Linked DNA regions of Oreochromis niloticus. The protein of the gene in region 1 binds, or shares a complex with, the protein of each later gene. Links are inferred from orthologs where the notes say so. Each region holds a gene or a part of one and is shown in the gene's direction. Other genes may lie near its edges. The genes, in order: akap17a, ppp1r8b, lg12h9orf78 and ttf2.

Region 1 (6,876 bases):
GTTAATGTCACCAGAATAGATTAAAAATACAATTGAAGCGAGTCGCTTCATCCGCTGTTCCTGCTGACACCAGCTGATTGTCCTTGCCTGTTGATGCTGAATAATTGATGATCTGACGACCCCAGCTTTGCTCTGGCATTTACAGTATATCCACAACTTCCTGCCCACATAGCCCACCAGACAGATTAACATCCAGTTCTTATTTTGCACCTCTTGTTATACAGACTGACCAAAAGTCAACATTGCTGCTGTTGGGATATAAACTCTATTTAATCCATTTTTGCAAATACTTTAAAATCAGATTTTATGTTGTTTATCTTAATATACTTAAAAGAACCTAAGAGGACAAGCAGTTTTGTGTTTCCCTGTTATGTTATTTTTGCCATTGGTTAGAGAAAGTAAACAGAGTATAGGGTACAGAGAAATTTAATGCCCACAAGCTTTCATATGTGTGTGGGGGTTACGATACATTTCTCAGTGCCTGAGCCTGAACAGATTACTACAGATCTGGCAATCCTCTTGTTGCTCTGATGTCCTTCTGGCACCCTGTCTGTTCTCTGCTTCGTGTTTCCCAGATCAAACCAACCATATAAAAGCTGGATTACATGTAAACAGTCACAATGTATCACACAATATGCTTCTTATATAAAACTGAATGCTGTCAAGTCAGCTCCTTTGATGATTCTGTAATCTCTGGGGTTTCCCTGATCTAGAAGTCAAATAAGGATTTATAGTGGTCAGAAGTGATGTGCTTTTTTTTTGGCTATGTAGAATCCAGATTTGCCTTAGGCAGGCTGTCTATTAAATAACTGCTGATCGGGACAGGATAGAGAGCCTTTTTGACTGCAGTAACTGACCTACATGCACAGTGAAGGGAGTAATGCCTATTATGCAAATTCCTCTGCCATCCTTTCAGGGAAACTGTGCCAACTTTTTAGCCTGGGGCCTCCACTGTTGGACCAATCCAAGTCCGGTCCATTTTTATCTCACACAGTTACCACAGTGATGATGGCTTTCAGACAAACCCTAATGAGTCACAAACAGTGCCAAATAGACATCAAGTGAGTAACAAATTTGTACTGTCATCAGAGTGTTGTTTGTCTTGTGGCAGATATAAAAAAGTACAGTGAATCCAGCCTGAACCCTTTTTTGATACTGATCAACATTTTTTTGCATAAACTATATCAGTGATTTACTAATAAATAATGAAATTGAGGGCGATTACAATTATTGCCAAAGTTTCTATCATGTATTAATTATGTGTGTTCTGAAATATATAGCAGGGTGTGTGTTCTTTCTCTTTTTAAATACTGCTAATATATATGTATCTATAAAACTTGGTTATTTACACCAAAAGTCTTAAGTAATTTGTAAGCCCGGTAAAAACCATAAGTGAAGACCTCACAGATGCATCTGACCCGTCTACTGTTCCCTGAAGCCTCATCAGAAAAGGTCTCAGTGGAAGGAAGCTGAGTACTCAAAGAGAAACCATGCATACTCTGTGAGAACTGCAAACTCCACACAGAAAGGCTCCAGACTGGATTCAAACCCTTCTTGCTGTGAGCCGACAGTGCTAATCATCAGACCGCCATGCACCCCATGAACATATAAGGAGGAGAGGTACTGATGGTAGATAAGTTTAAATACCTGGTGTCAGCCATCTAAAGCAACAGACAGTTCTGGGTATCTGTTGTGGGTGGTGTGACTATCAGGGGGATTTGTAATAAAAGGATCGAAGCAAGAATGAAAGGCAAGATTTAACAAGATGGCACTGAGACCTGTTATGATGCATAGTTTGGAGATGGTGACAAAAAGATAGGAGGCCAAGGCGAAAGTGCCAGAGCTGAAGAAGTTAAGATTTTTGTTGAGAAGATGGAGAGGATTAGAAATGAGCATGTCAGAGGGAGCGCTCAGGTTGAGCACAAAGTTAGAGAGGCAAGGCTGACTTAGACATGTGCAGAGGAGGGAGAGTGGACATATTGGACAAAAGATGTTGAACATGGAGCTCCCAGGCAGGAGGGCCTCATTAAGAAAAAAATATTGCTGATCATTTTGAGAATAAAGTCAAAAATTTTATTTTGAGAAAAAAGTTGAAATACTAGTTTGAGACAAAAGCCAAAGGGTGGAGATTATGGTTGCTGTTTGAAGACAAACTCCCAGGTTTGCTATACCTTCTACGAAAAGCCTTGAGTAGAAGTACCAATTCACTAACTCAGGGGGTGTAGGAACTATAGCTGTTTGTCTTGAAATTGTAATCTCCACATTTTGATTTTTTTCTCAAAATTCTATTTTACTTTGATCTCGAAATTTTGACTTTATTCTCAAAATGACCGACACCATATTTTTTTCTTAACATGGCCCTAATACTCCTTCATACAGGAAGAGAAGAGGAAGACCAGACAGAAGATTCTTGGATGTAATTAAAGGGTTGTTGTAGCAGAAGAACATGCTAGGCCAATTGACTTTGATATAATGAATGGTGTTTTGAAATTAAATAATCCTCACTCCGCTTGGTTTCTTATACCAAGTAAGGTCTTTAACAAACTGGGGTATCGATTTTCTCCTAAAATGTGACTTTGAAATTACTAAGCTACCTGTTAAACTCTCTGAATTCCATAAACAGCTCCTTCTTTATTGGAAAATTATATTTAAACATAATTTCACTCTACATAACTGCCAAATTTGGAACAATAGATATATACTGATGAATAGAAAATCTATTTTTATTCAAGATTGGTTATCGAAAGGTGTTTGGGCAATTGCTCATTTTGTAGATGAGGAAGGACAGGACATCACGATTTTGGCCAAAAATTTAATATCCAGTGTTCTAAAAGTAATTTTAATCGGGTTATAAAATCCATTCCATTGTCACTTAAAAACATAGTCGTAAGTGATATAATATATTCTGACATCTCCCTCAAGTTAAGGCAATTATATATAGATGGTATTCAGTTTTGTAATGTTAAATACAATAATAAGTTCCTGAGATCTTCATTAAAGAGTCTTTATTCTCCAAATTTACTTAGACGTAATTACATATTAAAAGATTTCCAAGAGGAAGAAATTGAAAGAATAAGAACTAATTATATCACCTTCCCTATCCCTCCTAAAGGGAAAGAAGTCCAATTCAAAATTTTAAATAAAATGTACCCAACAAATAGGTTCCTTGGTGATAGTTTTAAGATAGAAACTGTTAATTGTGTATTTTGTGAAACAGAAGAGTAGGATTTGGACCATCTATTTTTTTTTGTGCAGTTTTATACAAATCTTTTGGTTGGATTTTCATGCCTGGCTTCAATCGAGTGGGATTCAAATTACCCCATTTACCTTAAATGTGATATTGTTTGGAGTGTTTCTGAAGGAAAGTCAGTTATGGTGTTAATGTTTTATTAATCTTGTGCAAGCAATATATACATAAATGTCGACCAAACCAACCCTACTTCACTGGAAAAACGATCTAAACCTGTTGGTTAAATCTTTGACTTTAGTTAAAAAGAAAAAGGCTGCATCTTTTGGTTCCCTTTTGGAAGATTTTGATTTAGTGAGTTAATACTCTGTTAACTTTTATGACCCCGTCTTTATATCTTCTTTTTCTTTGTACAAAGGTTGAAATTTGTATTTTCTGATTGTATAATATATGGTGCATTTTGTTGTATGTTGATTTTGCTAATTAAAAAAAAAAGAAAAAAAAAGAACATGCTAGGAAATGTGTGCAATGGCGACAAATGATCCGCTGTCCCGGCGACCAGGCAGCCCAAGAAGAAAATTGCTATGAATATTGATATTAAACTGAATTCAACTTAAGAGATCTTTTTCCATTTTTCTCACCGCCATATTCATCCATGTGGTGTCGCTGTGGGCGCTGGTATAGGTTTCTTTAGAAGGTCGGAGTTCATTGCGTGCGGAAGTAGCATGTAGTTGGATTCTCGATTTTCTGTATGCCTCTCAAGTGTATGGCTCACCTTAAATTACAACAGTGTGTTTGTTGTGTTTTGCATTTTCGGTTTTTACGGGGGGGCTAAGTGATTTTGGTAGGTTGTGGCTAGTCTGTTATCTTCTGTGCTAGCTGACGTTAGCATGTTGTTGTCTAAAGCGGTGACGTTTTAGGACCCAACTCGTAAAAACCGTAACGTTAACAAATAATCAGTAAACAAATAATAATACGCAGTTTGCAGTTTAATAGCGTTAAATTAATCACGTTAACCAGATCGCTGTTTACTCAATTTCATAGCTTTCTAGCCTGTCGTCCTTCGGGATGAAGCGAAGACTTTAGCGTTAGCTTTCAGCTAATGTTACATTGAGTTTGCTAACGTTTGTGTAACCAGTGAACACCGTTCCCCAGAAATATGTAGCGTAGTCCTGACACCGTTCATTATTATTCCTACAAACTGTTGTCGTTGTGTCACCCTATATGCTCTCTGTTAACTGAACGTTAATGCACAGGAGCTGGTTAGCTGGGTAGCAGTATGAAGTTGTGATGGCGCAAGGGGCTTTATGCTTTAACATGGCATTTGTTGTGTAATTTTCGAGGACTTGTCACACTACTGTATAACAAGCCAAATGCGAAGGCTAATTATAATGGGTTTTATAATGTTGAGAATGGTTTTTAATCGTTTGGCATGAGGCCTGTGTTTGAGCCGATGTTTGCTGCAGTTTGATTATTGGTTTTGGAGGACTACTCGTAGCACATGCGCAGTTTAGTTTATTACTTTGAGTTTGCTCCTTATTCATGTTTTATCTGTGTTTTAAGAGAGTTTAATAACTACTAAATCTTTATTTTCTTCCCCCTGCTGCAGCTTCGGTGTCTCTCTGCAGCAATGACCACCATTGTACATGATACCACAGAGGCAGTGTGCCTCTCTGCTGAGTACAACCTGTACCTGAAGCCTATTGCCAAAATGACCATCAGCGTGGCTTTGCCCCAGCTCAAGCTGCCAGGCAAAAGCATCTCCAACTGGGAGGTAATGGAGCGGGTGAAGGCCATGGTGGCCCCGGAGCAGTTTTCAGTCTTGCGAATCTCCAAGAGCACAATGGATTTCATCCGCTTTGAAGGTGAAGTGGAAAACAAGACTGTAGTCAAGAGCCTGCTAAGTCGTTTGGATGGGAAGAGCATCAAACTCAGTGGCTTTACTGATGTACTGAAGGTAAGGGTGAACAAATTTAGAGCATTGCAGTACTTATAATTAGTAATTGCATGGTTATTGGAGTCACTGGAGTTTGTTGTTGCTACTTAAATGTACTTAAACTGTTTGTAACTCTTTGTCAATACATTGTAATTTGGCAGTTCAAAGAAATTACCTTGAAAATAAACAACTATCCAAAGGCAAGGCAGCTAGTTCTAAGTATTATATTATTATCTACCAAAGATTGATTACAGGTTGAATTAAATTGCACTAATAAACCGACAGCAGAGTATATTTATTTCACCCTCTCATCCTTTAGGTTCGTGCAGTAGAAAATAAAGTGGACTTCCCGACACGTCACGACTGGGATTCTTTTTTCCGTGATGCCAAGGACATGAATGAGACACTACCAGGTGAGAGGCCTGACACCATCCACCTAGAAGGGCTTCCTTGCCGCTGGTTCAGTCAGAAGGACAGCCAGTACCCAGATCGGCCCTCAGAAGAAGTCCTCATTGCAGTTTTCCAGACATTCGGCAAGGTGATTCACATTCATGTTTCTGTGTAGCTAAAAGGAAATTAAGCTTTTAATATTCACATTTTTAGTTCACAATTTAAAAAAAAAAAAAAAATAGACATAAGCAGTGCCTAACTAAACAAGAAACTAATAAATGTCGATATAAAAAGTTAAAACATTAGTATTTTTTTGTTTTTGTTTTTTTTTTAAGGTACGAAATGTTGACATTCCCATGCTGGACCCATATAGGGAGGAAATGATGGGCAAGAACTTCAGCACATTCAGCTTTGGGGGCCATCTGAACTTTGAAGGGTATGTCCAGTATCAGGAATACTGTGGCTTCACAAAAGCCATGGACACTCTGCGCAGCATGAAGCTGATGCTGAAAGGAGATGATGGAAAAGCCGTGGCTTGCAACATCAAGGTACTGCAGACTACAGTAGTGTCAAGCCTCTGCCTACACATATTAAAGCTGATTTTATTTTCTACCTCTTAATTGATTGACCAATCATTCCAGGACTTTTTTTTAATCCATCAACTAAAAATGTTGTTTTCTTAATTATGTTCAGTCACTGCTGGGAGAGAAATTTCTTCGTACAAACTTTAAATGCCAGGGTTTTGAGAAAAATGGAGTTTAACTCATTATTAAGGTGTTCTAATGCAGTGCCCTTTCAAATATGGTTGTATTAAGCAGGACAAGTATAGAGAACCATGCAGCCTTGAGAGGTTTGTTTGATAAACATGCTGATAAATTAATGATTCTATGCAATATAAACAACCTCCTTTTCCCATCAGGCTACCAGTGAGTGTAGCTTTTTTTTTCTTCTTAAGTGAAAATATTAAATGCACTGTGACAATAGCTTAAAACTTGTAGAGCAGAAAAGATGTTGTATTTGTAGCTGTGTCACTGGAATATTTGTCCATTATTCATTTATTTAAAATCTGTGTTGACACAGTAATCTGCCATGGATGTAATATTTTTAGTTTTCAAATGAAGAGCTGGAAGGACTATTCCTGACTAAGCATGGTTATAAAATGTTGTAATCATAGTAAACCACTCTGAAATGTGTGAAGCACTCGAATAAGCCCTTAAACTCACCAACGGGTTTATCAGTCTGGTATTCTTGGATTATATTTTGTTTTGCTTTATCCACTATCCCCCCCAAAGTTGGTCTAAATTACTGAATTAATAAAAATTTACATACTTTTGTTTTGGGTTTTTTTGTGTGTATAAATTTA
Region 2 (7,969 bases), on another chromosome or scaffold:
TCCACTTTTCAACTATATGTTACAGTTGATGGTGGACTATCTATTGACACGAGCTCTTGAGAACAAACCATTCTTTATCAGATGTTTGCAAAGGCAGACTGCATGGCTAGATGCTTGGTTTTATACAGCTGCTGAAATGGGACTAAAACCCTCTGAATTCAAAGATGCCCAGTACTTTTGTGTATATAGTGCAGGTGAAGCTGATTTTTAACCCTTCTTCATATTCATTTACTTTAAGTTTAGTTCTGTGCGTTAGGGCAGAACAAATTGTTACTCTATGTGCTTTTAGTGGTCTTGATGACTCTGTGGCTAGTGAAAAGTCACACTTACATTTGTTTTAGAGATGCAGAGGGAAGCCAAAGTATTCTGTCAGTATTCTCAACTTTTTTTGGTCTTTATATAAACCATATATAAACTCTTTCCCATGGTGAAAATTTCTCAAATTTAGAGGTTGTCCTGCAAACACTGTTTTAATATAAATATAGAGAATGCTTATTAGTCCATGGCTGCAATAAATCTCCAGCAGCTGCACTATAAGTTTTGTAAGAGACAAATCAGTGGCTCTCTTAAAACATTATATTAAACAGAGCCCCACCTGTTTTAGTAGACTCCTTCATTTGTACATAAGTGTTTGGCAGAGCCTTGCCTATGGTTTGGTCAGCTGCTGAGAACTTTCGGGGCACAAGTGGTGGGGGCTCATCTTCATTAGCCTGCACAAAAGAGGAAATTTTCTGTTTTATTACATGCATGGCTTCTTTACCACAGAAAAAAAAGTGGAAGCACCAATTTGTTATTTTTGCTTAGTTCATTTCCTGAAAGTCACATTATGAGCATCTGTTTATTAGTTTCCCTGTAGTGGGGTTTCAAGAGAAACCTGACATGACAAGAAAATCTTAACAACCTCAGCTGAGCCGTAACCTTTATAATAATAACTTTCAAAAATGTTATACATGCATTGAAAAGTTACACTCACGGGAGGTGGTGGAGCGGGGGGCCTCTTTTTGTTATTCAAAGTCAAGTCGCTGAACTGTTTGGTTGGGACGCTTTTGTCTGCTTGATGTTTGGATTTGTTTGCCTTCTTTGATTTCTTTGTTTTTTTGGGAGGTGCCGAAAATGACATGTTTCGCTTTGGTGGTCGAGGTGGCGGCTCCGCATCTGAGTTACCAAGTTTGCGAAATTCATAAAAGAATGTGTCTGCAACTTCGGTAACTCTTTCCACTTGAAACTTGGGGGGTTGATCTTTGGGCCATGGGAGGGGGTCTGTAGTAAAATAGACAGACATTGAGAGCCACTGAGTTGGGATCTCGAAACAGTACTCTGGCTTGTGTACAAAGCTTGCCTGAATGGTGGGTTCCAACATAGCTGCCTCTATTCTGAGACATGAAAACCCATAGAGGGGATCCTTCTCGAGTTCTGTATCACGGCCCACCACTTTAACATCCAGAGGCAAGCTAAACTGCTTCCCCAAGTCACAAAGTTTGTACTTTTTGTTGTCACTGAGTACTTCCACAAAGTGACCCTCCATGTAAAGAGGCATAATAATCTCCTCCTTTTCATCCTCCCTTTTCACCTGATCCTCATCATCATCATCATCATCCTCATCGTCCGACTCTTGAAGGCGATAGCACAAGAGAGCCTCTACCGACTGGTTCTGTCCTGATTTGCCTTCACAGGGTAACACCATCCTATCGCAACGCACAACCTCAAGCTGTTCCCCCACACTGAGGGCAGGGAGGCCCTCCTCTTCCACTTCCTCACAGTTCCTTGTTACGCTGACCTTCAGACCTGGCGCGTGGATTGAAGCAACATACAGCTCGTATACTGAATTAAACTCTCTTGGCCGTCTCCGGAAGCGTCCACCATATTGCTGAGACACCAGGAAGTACTGAGGTGTTTTCCTGCTCTTCAAAGTGGATAATAAAATCATGGGTGAGGTTCCTTTTTTGTGAAAAATCAGGTGCCCATTCTTGCGGAGCTCTGGTAGCCAGCTGCACTTGAACAGGGAGCGCGTCTCTGGGTCTTCGATGATCTCCACCACTCCAGGGAATGATTTATTCGGCTCAGAGTGGACTTCACTCAGAGAAAGGGGTACAATAAAATTCACATCTTTACACAGCTCGGTGACATCGACCACATCCACTTCTAAGCTGGATGGGAACTTCACCACATTCTTCCTCACTGTAGAAGAAAGAGAGGAAGGCAGTGAAGCATATTAGGTATATTTAAATTTGGTATGAGTGCAGTACAGTTGAACTGTGCTTTTTTTTGTTCTGAATTTAAATTCTCGAGGTTACAAATATAAGCAAAATGCACGTACATTTCCACAAGCATATATACTTATAAGTACTGTGTTTAACTGTGATACAGTGCATCATATAGATTAATTGCTTTTAATGATATGCTGATGTTTTTCAAGGTGGCATTAACTTTAACTGTTTTATAGCATAGTATGTACTATATGTCATACTATCATTGGCTTCAAGTGTATAATTTTAATATGCACAAATATTGCTTATATAATGCATAAATAGAGGAACAATAAAATGTCATGGGCGAAGAATTTAAATTAAGGTGGAAGTTAAAGTGGAAGTTCCCAAACTTTGCATTAACAAAGCGCACTGTAGGGTTCACACACAAATAACAAATCCTGATCAACATTATGTTAAATAGTAGTTAAATAGTTAAAAAGCAGGCTGTTCTTACAGTTCATGACAGCCTGGACATGGTATACTGGACTGAGGATAAGAGGCCGATCACACTTGGTAGCATTGACAAAGCGAAACCTTCGGCTACGCAGGGACGACGAGGACATGATCTCCCGCAGGGTAAAGCGCTCCTCACTCTCACACTCATAGAACTCCCCTCGGAAAGAAACAGGGATGCACACTTCAGCTGAGGCTTCTTGTTGTCCTCGAATAAGGCAGCGGACTTGATCCTCTTGATCCTTGTGTTTCTCAACAGAGAGCACCGTCAAAGCTGTCCCAGCCCCCAGTGCTAAATTGCCAATGGTCATCTTGGAGTGGCTGGAGAAAGTGAAGGGAAGAGAGGAGTCGAGGCCTACTGGCCTCAGGCTGACCATCTCCTCTACCGTACTGTATGGCATCTCCTCTGGAACGACCTTGAACAAGCCTGAGAAGAAAAAAAAAAAGTCATTGTAGTTCTACAAAATAGATTTAACCATTCTTACAAGAATTTCTCTAGACCAACCTGTGTGGCTGATAGGCAGCTCAAATGTTTCATTGTTTGCTACGTCTTGACAGGAAACTGATAGGAGCTCAATTTTAGTGACCTTTATTAGATCCCCAGTGGAAAAGCACACTTCACTCCCAGAAATTTCATATATAGAACCTGGAACAGAAAATAAGAAATTGAAGGAACAAAAATGATTAAGATTTCTTAACCAGCACATGAACGCATAGACTCTAATGGGAATTATTTCCAGTTGCGAGCCGTGAGCAACACAACAAATGCTCACTGTTCTTTTTATATACAACAACTTCTAATTTAGGGTTAAAAATGTACAAAATGTAAAAGGAATGTACACTAGATTGTAACTTTAAATTTATGCAAGACAGACACAACACAGAGAAGCACACAGCAATGAAGTAATCTATAATCTCGTCAGTTTCGTCCTTCTGTACACGCCATCTCACTGACGAAAACTAATAATAATAATTAAAAAAAAAACTACCTTGGAAATATACTCCAGAGCAAACTTGCAAAATTTTTGGCAGACAGTTATCGTCCAATGACGCGATGAATTCCTGAAGTGGCAAAGCAGTGGTGCCTGCCATCACTGCTGCCTCTGTGTGTGTGCAACCAAAAATGAAGGCAGGCAGCAAATGACAAGCGCAGCACAAAACGGGGGTGCTTTCTCAGTTAAAAACCACAAAAGTGAATGAGGAAGTTACAGGATCTCTTTGCACAACTTGTGCATTCACATACGGGGACAAAGCAATCTGGCAAAGCCTCATTGCTGTGAAGGTGGTAAATAAGTATCCAAAATGATGTTTTATTTAATTTTTTGGGATTACAGCATAAAGCCTGCTACGAAAAACAAAATGAAACATTCACACCCTAACTTTGAGCTTTTTATACATCTTAATTTTTTGGGTCTGTGTGGGTGTGTGTGTGTAAGAGTGAAAGAGAGAGAGGGAGAGAGGGGGAGAGGACGAAAGACTTTAAAAGGAGCAAATCGCAATTGCAGTTTTGCAGTGTGAACATGTTATATTTCTTTTTTCTTGTTTGATAGTCAAGCTGCTCTACTTAACGCTGTGGCCAAAATCAGTGTGAACACATTGCGCAAGGCTTCAATAAATACATGCACTATGATAACCTCTAAAAATGCAAAAGAAAAAACTCTCAGAGCACAGATGCGAGAACACACTGATAGCTTTTTTTTTTTTCACTAATATTTCAGGCTCTTTGTGATATTCGTTTTAGCCATGTGTCATCTTTCTCTCTCAGCACTTCCTGCTCTTAGTGCTTTTCTAAGCCTATGACACTTCTATCTGCAGCAAGGAGAGGCTAGATATCCTCCCACCTTGACATATCAAGGAAGGCAGGCAGCGGTTTTTAGCGTTTGACTCAACTCAGAGTTTCCAAGAACCACAAAAAGCTCTGAAGATCAGTGCTTGACACAGAGTCCGCCCACACCAGCTATTAGTACCGTTGCCCCAAATAGATACCCCCGAGGGACCCGCATTCCTATCTTCATTCAAACCACTGATCACGGAAAGGCAATATCCTTTATCTTTATCTGATTTGACTTTTTAACAGTGTTGACTTAGAAATTTGGGGAATAGGGACCCCTGCTGGTTCTTGTGGTAACACAAAGTCGGTGTTAGCTTAATCCCCCCCCACCTTATTGGTTTGAACATTCTTAGAAAATTCATGTATTATTCTTTATTACCACTTATTTTAAGTTAAAGTCGGAATAAATGAGAAAACGTCGTATGATATTCTATTTAATGTTTGGCAGTATTACAGGACTACATTTCCCAGTAATCCGAAGTGACGTTTACCCAGCATGCAGCTCTGCTTTGAGAAGCTGAGGCAAGATGGCGACTAAAATAAGCAAAGACAGTCCCCCTCCTTTTGATTGTCCATCATGGTGAGAAAATGCACGTGCTAAAGTTGTAGCCGTTAGCTTGTTATGTGATATCAGGTGCAAATGAGCAGATTAGCATTCACTTAATTATCAATGTAACTTTCTACATAGGAGAATAGCTGCTTTTCACAGTAGCTAATGTTAGCATCTAAGCAGGCTAACGCTGGTGTGTATCTACAAATGGCGTTGGCTTTTTTTCTTATTAAGACCCGTCGTTTATGTGCAGCTTTAATTCTGATCATGAAAAGAGGAAATAAATCACATGTATACGCAGGATATAATTTAATAAGTTTGTCTGTATGTAAAAGTATCAGTCTTGAGCACGTTTCTATGAGTGCAGAGGTCGAGTGACTCGTTTTTTTTGAACAAATCCTTAACTGTAGCAAGGGGAGACAATGGAGTATAGCCATGTTTTTATAATAATGATCCACTGTCCACGTATAACATTAACTTGGACAGCTTTAATGTTTAAAACTGTTTTCTCTTAGGGCAGGCAAACCGCCCCCTGGGCTCCACCTGGACGTGATGAAGGGAGACAAACTGATAGAGGTAACTGGAAGTTTGGAGATGTTACACTGGACTAACAATTTATAGTATTGCATACTTGTGAACTGCATGCAATGGTTAATAATGTTGGTAGTAGGTTACTTGAATGCACCAGATACGAGCCTGACAGTCTGCTTTGGCTGCATGGCTTCAAACGGTGCGACAGTAGCATCAGCCCTGAGTTTTAAGCTTTTCAGTGGAAGCAACACTGTGGAGTTATGGCTCAGAGGCACAGAAACGTTATTCAAGCTTCTTCTCTGGCTTGTTTTCAAGGCCAAGTCACTGACTCTTGTCTCTCCTTCTAGAAACTGATCATAGATGAAAAGAAGTACTACCTATTTGGGAGGAACCCCGACTGGTGTGACTTCACCATTGACCATCAGTCGTGCTCTCGTGTTCACGCTGCACTAGTCTACCACAAACACCTGAAAAGGGTCTTCCTCATAGACCTCAACAGCAGTAAGACACGATCTTCAGTCATACTTGTATACTCTACATCACTTTCTGAAAAAGCTAAGGGCTAAAAAGGAATAAAATTAATCTATTATGTGCAGCCATTAGTGCTCATTATCGCTCAAATAATTTGTTGAACAATAGACTGCTGGATAGACAAAAATAATCCACAACAATATTCTAATTGTTTTGATAATCAGTTAATTTTTAAAGCAATAATGCTAGGCATCAGGGTCAGATTGTAATTGGAAAACCTTATTGTTTATCTTCATCTGCACGTATCTGATAGTCCATGTGTATATAGCACTGATATATAGTGATTCAGAGTTGATGTTCAACCAAGTTATCATTTTTAAAAAAGTAATTTCTGATTTCATGGAAAACTTAAAAATAATAATGTACAGATTACATACTCAGTGATGTTGAATGCTGCACGTGCCTCGATGCGTGTAACCCAGAGGTTGCAGGTCATAAAGGAGAGAAATGAATTCTGGAGTAAGTTGGATGAAGGTTGGTAGAGAGTGTTCAAAGGAGGGAGAGGCTGGCGAATGGACCAGGCTTCAGTGGACATGTAGGTGAAAGGAACAGAGGTGATGAGGATGTTTGAGGTATGGTGTTAAGGAGAGGAATGTGGAAGGACAGTTTGTAGTAACAAAAGAATAGACATGGGTGGTGTAGGCGAACTATATCCTTTGCAGAAGGTGCAAAACAGACAGGAAACTGCAAGGTGGTGGTGAGGTGGTAGCTAAGCAGCACAGGATGGTAGTTTGTAGGATGACTTTGGAAATCTAGAAGAAGAGCAGAGTGATGGCAGAGCCAAAGATTCCATGGTGGAAGTTTATGGAGGAAGAATGCTGGTGTGGAATTTAGGGAGGAGTTGAGGAGACAGGCTCTGGGTCTTAGGATAAATTTACCAGATGACTGGGAAAATACAGCTGAAGTGCTGTGTTTGGTGCATCGTCTGGACAGAGCAAAGAGGACAAGGAGACTTTGTCATGGAATAAGACAGTACAAGAAAGTATTCAAATATTCAGTAGTCAGGGAGATGAAGGAAGTAGACAGGATTACTGGTAGGCTAGGAATACAGCACACTGAGGAGCGAGTGAGATGTAGGTAAGGCTGGAGCCTAAGGATGGAGCAGATGACATATTGATTGGCTAGGCAGCGAAAGGGAAAGAGTGGGTGGTGGCTGCTAAATGGTAAATGGCCTGTATTTGTATAGCGCTTTACTAGTCCCTAAGGACCCCCAAAACGCTTTACACATTCAGTCATCCACCCATTCACACACACATTCACACACTGGTGATGGCAAGCTACATTGTAGCCACAGCCACCCTGGGACGCACTGACAGAGGCGAGGCTGCCGGACACTGGCGCCACCGGGCCCTCTGACCACCACCAGGAGGCAGCGTGTGAAGTGTCTTGCCCAAGGACACAACGACTGAGACTGTTGGAGCCGGGGTTAGGGTTAGGATTCAAGCATTCAAAAGAAGTAGTTGTCTTGTGTAGTAGCAGTTATGAATTCTCTCTTTCTCGTTTGCTGCAAAAAATAAATAGAAACAAGATATGCCAAACTGGCAACTGAGTTTTTGCAAGAAAGTGGCACGCATTGGACCTTTTTAAAAATATTAGCAAAAACATATTAATGAAAATGATGTAATAGAGAATGGACTAAAAAGGACTAAAAATCACATTTATAAGAATAACTGGATATAAAGAAGAATTGCAGTTTGATCACACCAGTCATGCGCTTAAACGTGATAATGCAACGGTCATTGTTATATTAGTATTTAATATTACCGGGTTAGACAAGTCAGAAAAGTTACCAAATATTGACAAATTGTATTGTTTGATTCAAAG
Region 3 (7,893 bases), on another chromosome or scaffold:
CCTTCACCTGGAAGACATACATAAAAGCTCTTTACAGCTCAAGTGCTGAACATGAAATATAAATCAAGATGTCAGGATTAACATCTTAAAAATTAACAGTGTTCTAAAATCAAATGAGAGAAAGACAACAAACCTGTTCCACTGATTCAACCTCAGGTACATAAAATTGTAGCATGTTTTGGATGCCACTCTTCAAAGTCACAATTGAACTGGGGCAACTGGTGCAAGAGCCCTGCAGCTTGAGTTTAACAACGCCATCTTCAAATCCGCGGTATAGAACATCTCCCCCGTCCTCTTGCACAGTTGGCCTGACCGAGTGAGAACATTGACTGGTATTAGGCAAAAAAACAAAAAAAAACAAAAAAAAAACAAAGCACAGGAAGCAACAGGCCCTGAGATCATACTGCATCTTCATGAGTAGTTACCTTATTCGAGTATCTAGTAGTTCTTTAATCATAGCAACTACCTCGTCGTCATCATCTGATGGTGCTGAAAGGAGAAGCAGAGATTGTTGTTCCTCAGCATTCAAAGCAGCTTGTTATTTCTGTCCAAGTCGATGTTTTGATAATGGGCAGGCCACAGCTGTTTGAAAACCATACCTGTATCTGGGCTTGGCTGGCTGTCCTCGTTTACAACAGGAAGCCCGGAGGTAAAAAAGTCCATAATGGTAGCAAACACATCAGGCTTAATTACCTTCCATTCCAAATTTGGGTCGGCCTAAATGAAGAAGGACGAGAAACCAAGCTATTCTTAGTTGTGGTATGCCAAGCTGTGCCAGTACCAATTCTTACAAACTGGACATGGCTTTACCTTCGTTATGGTAATAAAGTCAGGGCCCAGGAACACACTCTTCACTCCATCGATCCTAAACAGCTGCCTGAAGACAATCACTGAGGTTTTATTATGCCACACTTAAAGATAAATTTTACACTTAATACAGGAGGTCGTGCAATGTTTGTAACAAATAAATACACACATATAGACATGCAAATTGTGTTCAGGTACCAGTCACATTTATTAACATAATATTTTAATGGGAATAGAATTAGAAAATAATATTTCTGTTCAAAATTGCTAGGTAGAGGTAAAAGCGTTACACTGAGGATCCGAATCAGCAGCGTGCTGGGCTGTGAGAAGAGAGGTCTACTGTTTCTGTGCATAACAGAGGTTACACCTTTTTTTTTAATATTTGGTAAGAGTAAATGCTGCCTTGGTTACTGCCCTACCAACAAGGCATGTACCGGTAAATCAATCTTGTCATGTGACTAGCAGAAGTCAAACTATTAATCCATTCTTCTTCTGGCTGCTCCTTTTAGTTTTTGCCACAGTGGATCATCTGCCTCCATTTCACTCCATCGTTCTCCACTGTCACACTAATGTCCTCCTACATGACATCTACCAACCTTCTCTGGAGGTCCACCTATTTTCCTCCTGCCTGGAAGCTGTATATTCAAAACCCATTGTCCAGCATATCCACCATCACTTCTCTGCACATGTCCAGACCATCTCAGCCTTGCCTGGCTCTCCAACTTTGTGTTTAAACTGCTCAACCTAAGCTGTCCCTCTGACATGCTCATTCTGATCCTGTCCATCCTGATCACTCTAAATAAAAATCTTAGCATCTTCAACTCTGTCATCTCTGGGTTTTTTTGTTTGTTTTTTTTTGTCAGGGTCACTGTCTCCAAATCATACATCATAGCAGGTCTCACTACTATCTTGTAAAATGTCTCCTTCACTCTTGCTGCTTTTCTTCTGTCACAAATCACCCACTCATCTCCATCCACTCCACCCAGTCAGTTATTCACCTGTCTTGTGCACTGTCCAGCGCACTGACTGCATGTATTTAAACTCATTTACCTACATCTGCTATGCTAAGATGACTGTTTCACATCAGGCATTTCTCTCAGACCAGTAATCTCACATACCTGGCTAGAGGTGAGCAGTGTGCCTCACGAGGGCCGGCAAAATTCATAGTTCCTGTTTCAAGAACTGTCCGGCCAGGCAGGAACTTCATGCTGTTTGGATTTGGTGTATCCTGGGTCTGCACAAACATGGTTCTTCCTGGGCAGAGAAAAAACAAAGAAGAAGAATGCAACATAAATCACCTGTTTTCATTACACGGTGTCCTTATTTTGTGCAGCAACTCTTTACTTTATTGAACTGCAAGGCTAATGTCACATGTCCTACAGGCACCTGCTCAAACAACAGCTGCATCTATTGGGTTCAAGACAATCACTCCAGTATAAACACATTCAATGTTACACATGTGATTATTATGGGAAGCAACAGGAATACAAACCAGGAACAATCCAGATGGGGTTTGAGGGCCATCTGTTCGAAACTCCTGTGGTATGTGAAGGCAAGTGTAATCCAGTGCTCTGAAACCCACTGACAGCAAGACTGAAAAATGCAGCAGATTAAGACATTTAATACAACGCAACTCACACTGATAAATGAATGGTGTTAGAAATCCAAATGTCAAGCACCCGTGTCAGCCCACTTCATCTAATGCCTTCCTCTCTGGAGTGGTAAAGTACTGACTTCAAAACATGAAGGTGTGGTGAGACTAATCCACTAAAATGATTTGGTGCACAGTGTTTGTACAACTAATAATTTGTAGCCGAGGTATTACAAACTGTTGCATAAGGCAACATGTAAAACAAACCAAAGGGGTCATGCAGAGCTTAAAGCGTTACACTGTGCAGTCAGTATTTGTCTTACTTTAGCCAAGAAGAAATCATTTCACTGACAACTAAACATGTTTTTTTTCTTTATAAGACATTTGATTTACAAAATAGAAAACACAGACAAACATAGTACAATTACAGGGAAAAATGGCACAGTATATGATATGCAAGGAAAGTGGACAATAGCAGAAATCTGCCCGTTACTTTTATTTGGTGTTTGATGTGCCAGAACCTGCTGTTCTGCTGGGATTTTCCTAAACAACCATATTTAATGTTTAAAGAGAATTGTCAGAAAGAGAGAAAATATCTGGTGAACAATGGTTCTCTGGGGTAAAGCACACTGTTAAGGTCAGAGGTCAAATGAGAATGAACCTGAGCTGATACAAAGTCAAACGCAAATAACAACTTATTACAACAGAAGAGCTTATCCAAATGCAAGACACATTGAAGCTTGAAACAGATGGGCTACAGCAGCAGAAGACCACACTGGGTGGCACTCCTGTCTGCTAAGAACAGGAAACAAGATACTATTTACACTACCTGGTCTCATGAATTTCAATTTCTTTTTTTAAACAATGTCTTTTTATTAAGAGTTTTTCTTTGTACATATAAACAAAAAGAAAAGGATTACAGTTGATCTGTACATTCGGGATGAATTTCAATTTCTGCTGCGATATTTGGATAGTACGGTCGGATTTGTCATGGCTCCATCCTGCCTTGTATCAATGGTTTAGCCTTCAGGTAGTGTAGCAATCGTGCAAATTTTTTTCTTAGTATACTTTGAGCCCCTTATTTCCATCTGAGGATAAATTGGGAATAAGTGGAATGACATGCTGCTGACCATGTCCATCCCTTTGTGACCACAGTTAGCCTGTTATAAAGGCTTGCTTCTTTAACCCTTTATTTACAAGTGCTCTTTAAATGACAGTAACTATTTCCATTTTTGCTAAAGACATAATTCAAATGGTTCCAGAAGAAAGAGAAAACGGGCTTAATGGGATACTTAATTTATCATGGTAGGACAGGAAATTCACAAGGTAAAAAACAAACAAACAAACAAACAAACAAACAAACAAACAAACAAACGGCCTAAATTTTACCATGTGAACTTCACATTGCCTTAACTCCTCAACCATTTTGGTCATGTCATGAAGAATTGAGGCAGTTCTTAAGGCAAAGGGGGTCAAACCCAGTACTAGAAAGACGTATGTAATGACATGTCTGAGTGTATAAGACCGTAGAAACACCAGCAGAAACAGAGTAATTGTGAGACATTGTCTCTTATGGACAGTTATTTTAGTTTTGCCTTTTGTAATTAATTGTTATTTATATTTCATTTTGATGTTTTAATTCAGTTTAGTTTGAGTTAGTTTACAAAGTGAGTTTCCTCGTTTCACTTCTTTTTTGAAAATGTTTAGTTTTAGTTTAACTTGTGTCTTAGTTTTAGATTGTTTTTTTTTAATCACTTATTGAATTAAGGGCATGTGTTGGAGGCAAGATTTAGTAAAACCAGCACAGTTATAAACTTCCTAGGTCTAAATAAATATATCTATCAAAACCTGATAAGGCAGCATTAACAATTAAAAACAAAACAAACAAAAAAAACAACAACAAAAAAAACAAAACAAGCTAAGCGATACTAAAACATGTAATACTTTTGTTTAACTATAATAACTTATGGATATGAACTGTCGACAGTAACGGTGTCGCTGTGTACACCTCAGGATAATTCAGAAAAAGCAGATTAGAATCGGGCTAAAGTTTTAGCACTTATGCAACAAAACCAAAAACATTTTTTAAAGTTTGAAAAGGTTTGTCGTGGTTGATACTGACCACTTTAAAGTGTTAATAAGCGGCTGGTGGAGACGCTTAACGCAGTAAAACATCCCCACACCTCCCTGCTCTGTAGCTGACTGTCTGCGTCACTCCGCCGTTTAGCCAGCGTGCTACCATTAGCCTGACCCTGATGCTTAACATGCTGACGCATTCATGCACACATGATATAAAGCAAAAACAGAAAACAATGCAGATAAAGATAAATACAAAACCACTTACGGACGAGAAAGTCTTCCTGAAATACCCAACAATCTGCCGACCTGCCTGTAAGTCGCCATGTTTGTTATGGTTATCTAAACAGGACGGAAGTGGCGCGGTAAATAAGGGGACGTGACGCACTATTATTGTACATTTGTTAAATCGTCCCCCCTCTTATCCCAGCAGTAGCTACACTCAAGTGCAGCTTCTAGAAAAGTCTGAAATAATTTTGTGTAGTATCTGAAAAAAAATGCCGTGTGGCAAAAATTTTAGAAGGAGAAAGGACTCGTCCGATGTGGAGGAGGATGAGACCACCGAAGAAGTCAGGTAGAGCCGTCTGTTTAACCACAGGAATAAAAAAAAAGCCGTTTAGAGTAATGCTATGCATGCTAATGCTAATCGCTAAACGCAGATAGTTTGTTGTCGCATTTTATATAAGCTGCCCAGGTAATGTGTTTGCAATCGTTTGTGTTTCATGGATGTTTAGGCATAAGTTAGAAGAGGCTAAAGAGCTACAAAGTCTGCGCAAACGACAGAGCGGAATCAGGTAACGTAAATAAATCAAACTACGAACACGTTTCATCCTGTTACTTTACATGAAGTTTTACACAGTCAGATACCGAATCACAGTTTTTTATATTTCTTTTATTTAGTGTGACCGCCTTGTTGGTTGGAGAAAAACTTCCACCAGAGGCTGAAATTGAGGTAGGTAGTCAGTTTTGTAAAATTTATATTTTTTTAAAATTGTAATATAGCTTCATTAACCAAGGTGTTTTGGTTTTTGAACTTACGTTTATTAAAATTATTTTGATTATTCCTCACAGAATGACCCATTTAAACTGAAGACTGGGGGAATTGTTGACATGAAGAAAGTGAAAGACAGGAATAGAGACATGTAAGTGAGTTTTTAACTATTTTTAGCATAATTGCTCTACGCTGTGCATTGATATGTCATCATTTCATGTTATGTATTCAGGACAGAAGATGAGACAGACCTCAACCTGGGGACGTCTTTTTCAGCCGAGACAAACAGAAGAGACGAGGATGCGGATATGTATGTGTGCTTTTTTTCTTTTTTGTTGTCCCATCCCCTTACTCATATTATGTATAAAGACACGCTTTCACCCTCTTCCACTTTGGTAACAAGAATGTAATGACTTAAGTAAAAGAAATGGGTTCAACCCAACATGTAAGTCTATCATAAAAGCAGACTTTTTTTTCCTGACACTGACATGTAAAAATCTAATGTAGCTGAAATTATTTTATTTTATTTTTTTTAAATTGACAGCATTTTGTGTTGGTCAAATAGTTCCAGTTATAAGGGGGATTTGATTCTGATTCTTTTCCCTCCACTTTAGTTAGATATAGCACAGATTACATAGAAGAGACATTTCAAATCCCCAGCATTTAGGACAGAATTCGAGATACCCTCACACTTGTTTACAACATGGTTTTATCATAAATTTATCCTCACAGGATGAAATATATTGAGACGGAACTAAAAAAGAAGAAGGGCCTGGTGGAGGCTGAGGAGCAGAAAGTTAAGGTGAAGAATCCAGAGGACCACCTGTATGAGCTGCCCGAGAACATCCGAGTCAATTCTGCCAAGAAGACAGAGGAGATGTTGTCTAATCAGATGCTGAGTGGCATCCCTGAAGTTGATCTTGGCATTGAGTATGTACTGAGAATATTCTAGTAATCATCTACACTTATTTTAGAATCAGCAAGAGGAGTCTTTTGACTAAAACTGCATTTTTGCATGAGATATGGCATGAACGAATACTGCTTTTTATTAATAGCTTTACTAATAAAACTTGTGTATGTAATTTCTTTTCTAGTGCAAAGATAAAGAACATCATCCAGACAGAGGATGCAAAAGCAAAACTTTTGGCAGAACAAAGAAACAAGAAAAAAGACCACGGCACATCATTTGTACCCACGAATATCGCTGTTAACTACGTCCAACACAATCGATGTAAGTAATCTGAAGAGAGCGAGATATTCCACACCTAAATTAAAGCAGATAATACTAAACAAACTGACTTTTTCTTTCAGTCTATCATGAGGATGCAAATGCACCGCAGAGACACCATAGACACAAAGAAGAACCCAAAGCAAGACCGCTGCGTGTGGGCGACACAGAGAAACCAGGTCCAGAGGGTAAGAGACTCTACAGATACGCTCACTGCTCAGTACATAGTAATAGTTTACAGCTGGATAAACAAAAGAAAATGGGTGGGTGGAATTACCTCGGCGAGCGGGCAGTATGGACACTCGGCTTTGTGAACATGATAACTTGAGAATGAAGCAATGTTGGATTTTCAAATTGATACCATAGGTGCATCTACTATAACTCTTGGATGAGTTCAAATATTGGTGACCCTGACTTTGAGATCAAAGTCAGAGGTCAAGTTTTCTGAAAATTATCTTAGGAATTTGGAGATTTTATCATCTCCAGTACATAATGACAATAATTTCACAGAATCAAGAGAAATCTCTGCACACGAAGGGAGAAGGCTGTGACCTTCAGACCCTCATGACACAATAAATTAAAAACAGGCATGAATCTGTAGTGGAAATGACTGCATGGACTAAAACACTTCAAAAACATTGCCAACTCAAAATTTAATAAAGTCTAAGTTGAAGTGGAAAACTGTCCTGTGGGCCAGACCTGTCAGAATGTGAAACTGTTGTTTTAAGTCACTGACACTTGTGCATTTCCAAAAATAATATTTCTCAGTTTCAGGATTTTCTTCGTTTTATCCAAGCTAGATAGAAACTGTATTGCAGTCACTGCAGTTAATTTACTTTCAATGGCTTCCCCATTTACTTGTGTGTCTGTGTGGGGATTTATTCAAAATCTTTTGAAACCTTTAATCTGATTTCGAACTTATTTGTTCATCCACAGCTCCGTCACCACCAAACTACCGCAAACGTCCAAACAATGAGAAGGCTACAGATGACTACCACTATGAGAAGTTCAAGAAGATGAATCGGCGATATTGATGAGATGGATATATATAAACATTTTAAACTCAAGATTCATTTGAGGACCCCAAACGGCTTTTAATGGCATAGCTCTAACATCAGGGCAACACTGTGTAATTATTGTATATAGCTCCTGCTGTTTGTCTGTATACAATACAGTTGTTAATGTCTCAGATGATTTCTT
Region 4 (7,900 bases), about 15 Mb from region 1:
GAGTTGCTTGCTAAGCCACCTGTGTTTCCAACACTATTGCACCTCTGAAATACACCTTTAGGAGGTGATTTAATGGGAGTTGAAGAGAGGCGTCGCTGGTGGAGCCCCTTCACAGTCTGCAGCTGTCGTTGTTGATCCATCTGAAGAACCTGCAAGGAATGAGCAGAGTAATAGTTTTCTGGAGAGAGGGGTTATGTCTACATAACACAAGACTAACAGTAAAGTCCTGGAGAAAGGCAACCCAATCTGGTAATTTCTTTAGAAATGCAATAGCAGATTTTGACCACTTGAGGGCAGCAGAAATACTGAATCCCAACAACACAAACAAGGAAACAGATACTACCAACACAAAAAACTGTGTGACAAAAAAAATTGTAACAGTAGGCATCCAAACATTCCAGCATTTGAAGTGTTGAATTAAAGCGTGATGAGTTGGTGAGTGAAATAGAGCACCTTCATGACAAAGGAGGAGTTAGATGAGAAGGACAGCTCTTCAGCCGCTTGCTCCAGCAGCTCAAACTCTCCCAGCTCCATGCTCTCCAGCTGTCGGTCGCACTCCCATCGCTGGAGCTTCTTCTGAAAAGACAACTCGAAGGAATCCTGTATAACTGGGTCTCCTCCTTTAGAAACCCCTCCTGCTTCTGCTAATTCCCCTTTTGAACCACAGCTTTTTTCATTTTCAGCCGCCCCTGCCTGTCCTAACTTCCCGCCCTGTTTGGTTGTAGGACACGGCTGAACATTGAGACAAGGGGCTTTCACGGCCTGAACTGACAGAACTTTCCCCAGCTGATGTTTGGCTGGTCTGCCACCTGGATCAGTTTGGACAGTCTCTGGTCCTGCTGTGTTCTGTCTCTGATGACTACCTAAAACCTTTGTCCGTGCTACTTTAGTCACTGCTCTCATATCGTGGGGTGGTGAACTGAGTCCCTTCAACCGGTTCTCCTTGTTGAGTGTAGCAGTTTTACGCTGGACAGGAAGCCGTGGGGCACTGTTTGCGGCTCCTTTCTGAATATATGTGGGCTCCGAGTTGCTGCGAGAGATTACTCTGGCTTGAGGCGGTGGTGGTCTGGAGTCCTTCTTTACATCTGTTTTTTGGAACATAGCTTTCCGATTATTTGTAAATCTCGAAAGGCCCTCTCCTCGCTTCAAGAAGGCTCTCTTAGGAGGGGCTTGCGCAGCGTTGGCTCCATCTCGACTCTGTTGAAGGAATAGGACAAGATTTGAATTCAATGTAAATTGGAATTTTTTTAGTTTTTCCAGTTAAATAAAGTATTTTATTGCAAAATACAGACAGGCTCCATTTGTGCAGACATTACATTCCTATATCAGGTTGTCACCTGCAGAATGCAAACTCAAATGAATGGTTCATTATTGATACTTTTCAGCACTCGACACATCCTCTGACCTGTTGTTGCTGGGCAGACTTTAGCCTCTGCTCCTCCAGCTTCAGCTGCTCCTCAAGCAGCTCCTCAAATGTCTGCTTTTGACCCCCAATACCTGGCCTTATAGGTCTGGAGAGGAGGCAAACAAAACCATACTCAAACACTGATCTGTCGAGACAGTCTGATGTTAGAACTACATAAATACAAGACTATGTATTATTTACCTGTCGTGAAAGACTTTGTCTTCTGTTCTGCTGTCGTCTTCAGTCCTTGCCACAGCATTATGTTCCATTAACGTGTCATCTTCCTCAGAAAAATGGCTCGCATTGACACTGTGCTCCTCCTCATCTTCTCTGGAGTCCAGTGAGCCTACAGAAACAAAGCGGTTAACCACTGAAAACATGTGAACCGTGTGATGAAAGACAGGGCAAATCCACACTGGCTGTTCTATAGAAAACACAAATACCAAGAAACTGTGGAAATGTCTTACTCTAAACCAGGGATGTCAAACTTGTTTTACATCGTAGGAGACATACAGCCCACTTTGATCTTAAGTAAACTGGAAGAGTGAAACTATATGACAGATATGTCAAATTATAGAAAATGTTTTGGAAATGTATAGCCCAGACTGTCCTGTAGTAATAAAATATCATGTCAAATTTATTCTTTACTGTGGACTACCTGCAAAAAAAAACAAAATGCATTTCTATGGTAGATAGTGTCATTCAATTGTTTATCTATTAGTTACCAACTTTTGTGTAGTATGAATGGACATGGAAGGGGTCTTTATAAATAGGAAGAGCTGTAAAACCTATGAAAATACAGTGAAATGATTCAAATCTAATGTACTCCTTCACATTTCACACATGTGAAGCTGTGCAGTGGGCCGGTTTGGAGTCTTTGGTGGGTCGATTCTGGCCCCTGGGCCTTACATTTGAAACTTACATTTAAAATATTAAATATATCTTACCCCCTTCCTCATCATCACCCTCCTCAGGTGCTTGACCTTTGGGTAGCTGCTCGTGTCTGACAACTAGTGAAAGTTGCTGTTCTGGTTGACGGCCAATCATAGAGCCCCGTGGGACTCCATGGTGGTTTGTATCAGGACTGTAAGAGCACTGTGTGTAACATGACCTGTGGAGCGTGTCCTCAACCCACTCTGGTCCGGACATTTCTGAACTCTCTGTAAGATGGGTTATCATCACTTCAGTTTATGAAACAGGACACATACTTGCACACCACATTCACCCTGAACTCAAAATGATCACTTCGCAGTTGTTCGTGTAATTTCACTCTCTGACCTCCTGTGCAGTGCTGGGATCCATTCAGCGTTCCCAGTAGCTTCTGCTGCTCTTCCTGGAGATGAAGCAGCTCCTCCAGCTGATGAGCTTTTAGCTGCTCCTGCATGTGCTGCTGCCATTTCTTTAACTGCACACACATATTGCATTAAATTCTAATTCGATATGTAGTTTAGCTTAGCTCCCACTATGTTTTTCAGATGGTTTAAGATACATTTAACCTAGATGTTTCTGAGTACCACTAGTTTCAGCTCAGTGTCAATCCACATGCGCTGCACATACTGCCATTTGACATATAGTCTAAGTGTTTAATTGCATCTGTGTCCCAGCCAACATAATTGCCTTAGGGAAAAACTCTATTAATAGCAGAGAAACGTAAAGGAGTGTGTGTGATGGAGGTGCATTAAGTATACAGGAAGCAGTGATGTAATCAACAATGAAGTCCACGCAGGGCCCAAAATTTGCATATATTAGGAAATCTGTGGCATTATAGTGTCCAAATGTTCTTACATTATTAATAAATAAATTATAGGTTCATTTTTTCTGCTTTGTCTCACCCCTGTATCTATAAACCAGTAAAACTAAAGATCCTCCCAGTATCTGTGTCATGTATGTTAGGTATTGAAAGTCCATCTCCTCAGATGCACAGCAGGGCTAGTCACATATGCCAAACATATGTTCTTGGTTTCACTAAGAATTTATTTTCTACTTTTAACAACTTGATTGTCTCAAGTTACAGGAGACAACTGCTTCTGAAAAGCACTGATGTCCATACCTGTTCAAGCTTCATCATAAGGGGCAGATCCTGTGATTTGCTTGCCATCTCGTCCAAAGTGTCCAGCTGTCCATCTGCAATTCTCGTCGGGACAGAGTTTAGACCGTTCACCGGCCTGTCAGACTCAGTCATCTCTCCTCCTGCTGCCCGTCTAAATGCATCCACACCGAGGCAGCTGCTGTCTGTAGAAGCGGGCAACGGGGCAAAGTCGGAAGCGAAGGAATCGTCTGGCAACATGGGCGACGATCCCACGGCAGAGGTGTGCCGCAAGGGTCCAGCCAAATCCGGAGAGGGACTGAGGATCACTCCGGCTCTGGTGCTACTTGGCATCCATCGGGCCAACAAGTCTGCCTGGGAGTACTGAAGGCCAGCTGGAGATGACATGATGGCTGCGATGTCGCAGGCAGGATAGTCTAATCCGGGATCTAAGAGAAAGATTATGGTGACAGGTTAAGGGTTAATCACGCCACGAATAAACACCGTCCAACACCCTATAGCTGACGCCCAGGTCCAATAAAGCTATACATAGGGACGTTATATATAGAAAAGACATTGCCTTTTTAATACGAGATTGGTTTCCGTCCTGGTTGCTACACAGAAGTCAGTTCCAGATATTTGGTTACGAACAATAATCTTAACAATGTCTATTAAAAAAAAAACATAGGAGAGAATGGTGGCATTTATGACATGTGGCTCACGTGGAATGTGGAAGTGCTCTTTTCATTTTCCTCAAATGTCGCTTTATTTAAAAGGCTTGGCTTCCTCGTCGACACTCTCCCGTTATTGGCAGGCTGCGTTTTATTTATTTCATAAAAACTTTTCCCGGATGTTACACTGTAGTGACGACACTACAACATTAACAAGCATCGCAAAACACATCGACATTACCTGTAACTCAGGAGAAAAGCAGGTTTACTGTGATGAAATCGGGCGTTATACAAAGGCAACAAACAAAAAATTCGAAGCCTGCCGCCATATCAAAACAAAGCCCGCGAGACCAAAAAACCCAACGATGAAGTTGTTGTTGCATTGTGGGTAACGTAGTCTTACATCACGCTGGTCCTAACTGTTTTTTAAATGTCTTTTTATTTCATAGAAATTATAAATAATGATTTTTATATACAAAACATACGTTTTTTAAACAGAAAAGTCACTTCTGCATACATGTATTAAAAAAAAAAATTTCTACGGAACAGGTTTACGGAAGTTCTCGGAACTAGCTTATATTATATCCGGTTAAAAGTTAAATATATTTCACAATAACAGTCATCAAGCAAATGCAATTTGGCGTTTGTTGAGTTTATTTTTTTAATATTGTTATGTATTTAATATTTATCGGTATTTAATGTTAATACATCATTATATATTATGTCTTTGTCCATCATAATACAATTTTGCTAAATAACTCGGACCTTGACTTTTATACTGACGTTTGCAGAGCGGATGTGTTATCCGAGAGCTGCGATTGGTCTATACAAAATACAGCCCTTCCCTTCACGTTCTAGTAACTGAACTGAACTAAATGTGTTGATAAAATGGAAAAGGTTGTATGTAGTATACACGGTAAGTGGTAATCGGTCAGTGGTGATTAATTATGTGTTATAAAATGGTAAACTGGATATTGTGTTTGATTTAAAGAGGTTATATTTGTGTTTTTATCCTGAGGACAAAAAAGGTTTGCTGCCCACATAGTTTAATAATTAGTTTAACCTTCGGTTTAAATATTCCGCACTTCGAGTTTTTACGTGTTTCTAAAGAGAGACCTTTTTGTCACAGGCGGCGTGTGTATGTTAAAAACCGGATTAAAAGACGGACCCAATAAAGGCAAGAGCTTCTACGTCTGCGTTGACAAGCAAGGCTGTGATTTTAGTCAGCAAACCAGGTATTCCCCCGATGACAATAGGCCTCTGTATTTTCAGACCTGAACCATTCATTGACACTGTGTTTGAACCAAATAATAGTCTCTTAACTATTCACTGGCCATATCCTTACATTGCTTTTGTTCCATTCATCTCAGTAGCCAACTTTACTATACTCACTGGCCCTCTCCAAACATCTGAGGTTATTCACTGACATATTGTTAAAGTTATTGATAAACAAATGTGTGTGTTGCACAAATATTTGTTTTATTGATGTGAATTATCATATCTCTAGCATTTCACCATCACACTGCCTCCATCATGAAGATTCAATGGTGGAACTCCAGGCTCTCAGCTACAGTCAGCCACAGCAGGGCTATAGGTGTGTGTGTATGTATGTATTAGAAAGAAATCTGAAATTGCATGCTTATACGCAGCTTATATGACTAGATACCAGGTTGGTTAGACTCTGTATTTAACTGCAAATTCCTTCTCGTTTTCCAGGTTGTTCTACCGATGTGCAGTAGGTAAAAAAGCAGGCCAGAGGTGGTGTGGAAATGTACCCTGGACTGCAGTAAGTGCTGTCACAGATTTCCCAACACACACTTGTTTTTTTATATACATTCAGTATCTGTATCACCAACGGTTTCTGGCCATCGCATTGAGACAGTTATTAAAGATAGTTTTTAGTTATTAAAAATGCGGTTAAAGTTTTAAGTTAGTGTTCTCACTACTCCACTAATAATTAAGCTTGTATGAATTAGTCAATTCATTGGTCAGTCACTCAAAACAAAAGTAATCCTTACCTCTTTTGTATTTGTTGTTTTTTGTTGTTTTTTTCTTTAATGCTGTGTAACTGTAAATGTTTTACGGTTTTCCTGGCGTATGCATTGATTAATACATTTATTATGTAAACAATCATAAGTTGCAGCCTTAAATAGGATGTAGCTAAATGGTATGAACAAGTATTTTTCCTATTCTGAACTATTTACTTTTTTTAAACACCACATGAGGGATTAGCTGTTATTAGACACTTTTCTGTAAATTTCTATGACATATTTTTTTAAAGTGTGTTGTCTTCCATGATTGCAGCCGGAAACAGAAAAGAGAAGCCCTCTGTCTGACACACAGCTACAGCCCTCATGTCTTCCACCTGTACGAAACCCCTTTAAGGCACCAAGCCAGGCAGACAAGGACTCTGAGTGGAGAAAGTTGCAGAACAATAGACATGAAGAGAAAGAAGCAAGTCACAAGGCTGAAGGAAGAGCAAGTTATCAGAAAGAAAATGAAAGGCAACAAGGTGCAGGAGTGGAAGAAAAGGCAGATGATAAGCACAGGTCGTCGGATACTTACCGGGGTAAACAACTTCCACTGGGGATGAAGTTAAAAAAGAGAGTTTCAAATGAGGAGAACAACAGTCCCAAAGAAAACAGTGTTGAAAAAAGAACCGAGAAGATTCAAGACACGCCCGAGCAGAACCGCATCAAGCAAGGAGAAGAAGAAAAAGGCATTTCTTCCTCCAGCGTCAAGACTGTTCATTCTGAGTCATCAAACAAACATCAACTCAAAACAATCAATCAAACTGCACCAGTTTCTCACAGGAACTTGACTCAGCAACCATCTGATGCCGAAACCTCTCAGGTGAAAGAAACCAAACAAATACTAGAAAAGAGCAGCTGCACCCATGCATCCAGAGACTCTGACAGCAGCAGGAGCCCCATACCTGACAAACCAACTCAGTCAGAGTCCAGTCAGCCCAACAGTCCCGAAAACAACGACGATGATGATGATGTGGTACTGGTGTCTGTGAAGCCTGCTCCGCAGAAGACTCCTCCTGTTTCTACTGTCCAAAAGACGCTGACCAACTTCCCAGGATTCCAGCCAGCTTCTAACATCAAAAAGCCGGTGGAAAACCCCAAAGGGCTGCAGAACCTGCTCACCGTTCAGCTCCAGCAGAAAAAGGTGAGGGGAAGAGGAGACAACACATGTCATGCATGAGCACTGCATTGATTTAAAACCTAACATACAAATATTATTATAATATTTAAAAAAATATATTATATGCATGTCAAACATGTCCGCATTAAGAAATCTGTTAATTAACCGCCCCGATATACTCATATCAGTCACTCTTAGGCTGCGTTTCCCAAAACACCGAAGAATATTTGTAGTACTTGTAATTATATCATAGTAAATAATCTGCAAGCTCTCAGAATGTACTTTTCTCTTTAAATGTTAAAGTTGACACTGTTAGCTACACTAGCTGACAAAGTAGGCTGAGGTAGCTGTTAAGTACAGTTTAGTTTACAAGTCCAGCAATGTGATTTATCATTGGGCTGATATCTAATTGGCTGGTATTAGCTAACTGCTAACAGCCCATAAATAAAAGTGGGGGGAAAAAAAGACCAGATGGAAGAAACGCCTTTCAACCTTGTTATAAGTTGATCAGGACAGAGCATAAAGTAAACAAGATAATCAATGACCAGGCACAACTAATGTTAGGAAAATCTGTTGAGTTTTTGGAAAAGAATACAATTAAATGGCCAACTGTCAGTATCAGCATTAAAAATCCTGCATCAGTCGGGT

What was found.
Region 2: akap17a (region 1) and ppp1r8b share a complex: the UniProt entries of both Homo sapiens proteins name them as parts of the spliceosome. The link is inferred for Oreochromis niloticus from reciprocal best matches to the Homo sapiens genes AKAP17A and PPP1R8.
Region 3: akap17a (region 1) and lg12h9orf78 share a complex: the UniProt entries of both Homo sapiens proteins name them as parts of the spliceosome. The link is inferred for Oreochromis niloticus from reciprocal best matches to the Homo sapiens genes AKAP17A and C9orf78.
Region 4: akap17a (region 1) and ttf2 share a complex: the UniProt entries of both Homo sapiens proteins name them as parts of the spliceosome. The link is inferred for Oreochromis niloticus from reciprocal best matches to the Homo sapiens genes AKAP17A and TTF2.

What each region holds. Positions count from the first base shown.
Region 1 is NC_031987.2:12,402,045-12,408,920, forward strand, and holds the start of akap17a (A-kinase anchor protein 17A), read left to right. Parts: upstream 1-3,865; 5' UTR 3,866-4,031; intron 4,032-4,796; 5' UTR 4,797-4,817; coding exon 4,818-5,144; intron 5,145-5,284; coding exon 5,285-5,323; intron 5,324-5,442; coding exon 5,443-5,661; intron 5,662-5,848; coding exon 5,849-6,061; intron 6,062-6,876. UniProt on the Homo sapiens protein: Splice factor regulating alternative splice site selection for certain mRNA precursors. Mediates regulation of pre-mRNA splicing in a PKA-dependent manner.
Region 2 is NC_031976.2:26,286,158-26,294,126, reverse strand, and holds the start of ppp1r8b (protein phosphatase 1, regulatory subunit 8b), read left to right. Parts: upstream 1-4,968; 5' UTR 4,969-5,060; coding exon 5,061-5,113; intron 5,114-5,119; exon of another isoform or gene 5,120-5,276; intron 5,277-5,598; coding exon 5,599-5,659; intron 5,660-5,762; exon of another isoform or gene 5,763-5,893; intron 5,894-5,961; coding exon 5,962-6,115; intron 6,116-7,969. Other genes in the region: protein THEMIS2, read right to left, coding at 596-710, 974-2,178, 2,704-3,129, 3,208-3,348, 3,692-3,794. UniProt on the Homo sapiens protein: Inhibitor subunit of the major nuclear protein phosphatase-1 (PP-1). It has RNA-binding activity but does not cleave RNA and may target PP-1 to RNA-associated substrates. May also be involved in pre-mRNA splicing.
Region 3 is NC_031977.2:13,550,483-13,558,375, reverse strand, and holds the start of lg12h9orf78 (splicing factor C9orf78 homolog), read left to right. Parts: upstream 1-4,892; 5' UTR 4,893-4,971; coding exon 4,972-5,048; intron 5,049-5,208; coding exon 5,209-5,268; intron 5,269-5,374; coding exon 5,375-5,426; intron 5,427-5,545; coding exon 5,546-5,616; intron 5,617-5,697; coding exon 5,698-5,775; intron 5,776-6,197; coding exon 6,198-6,395; intron 6,396-6,559; coding exon 6,560-6,696; intron 6,697-6,776; coding exon 6,777-6,881; intron 6,882-7,629; coding exon 7,630-7,727; 3' UTR 7,728-7,893. Other genes in the region: NFU1 iron-sulfur cluster scaffold homolog, mitochondrial, read right to left, coding at 1-7, 134-308, 426-489, 600-717, 811-877, 1,926-2,061, 2,300-2,400, 4,743-4,801. UniProt on the Homo sapiens protein: Plays a role in pre-mRNA splicing by promoting usage of the upstream 3'-splice site at alternative NAGNAG splice sites; these are sites featuring alternative acceptor motifs separated by only a few nucleotides. May also modulate exon inclusion events.
Region 4 is NC_031987.2:27,398,329-27,406,228, forward strand, and holds the start of ttf2 (transcription termination factor 2), read left to right. Parts: upstream 1-4,890; 5' UTR 4,891-4,990; coding exon 4,991-5,018; intron 5,019-5,231; coding exon 5,232-5,337; intron 5,338-5,609; coding exon 5,610-5,708; intron 5,709-5,818; coding exon 5,819-5,888; intron 5,889-6,406; coding exon 6,407-7,276; intron 7,277-7,900. Other genes in the region: cpap (centromere protein J), read right to left, coding at 1-149, 454-1,197, 1,406-1,511, 1,607-1,751, 2,353-2,565, 2,684-2,810, 3,456-3,839. UniProt on the Homo sapiens protein: DsDNA-dependent ATPase which acts as a transcription termination factor by coupling ATP hydrolysis with removal of RNA polymerase II from the DNA template. May contribute to mitotic transcription repression. May also be involved in pre-mRNA splicing.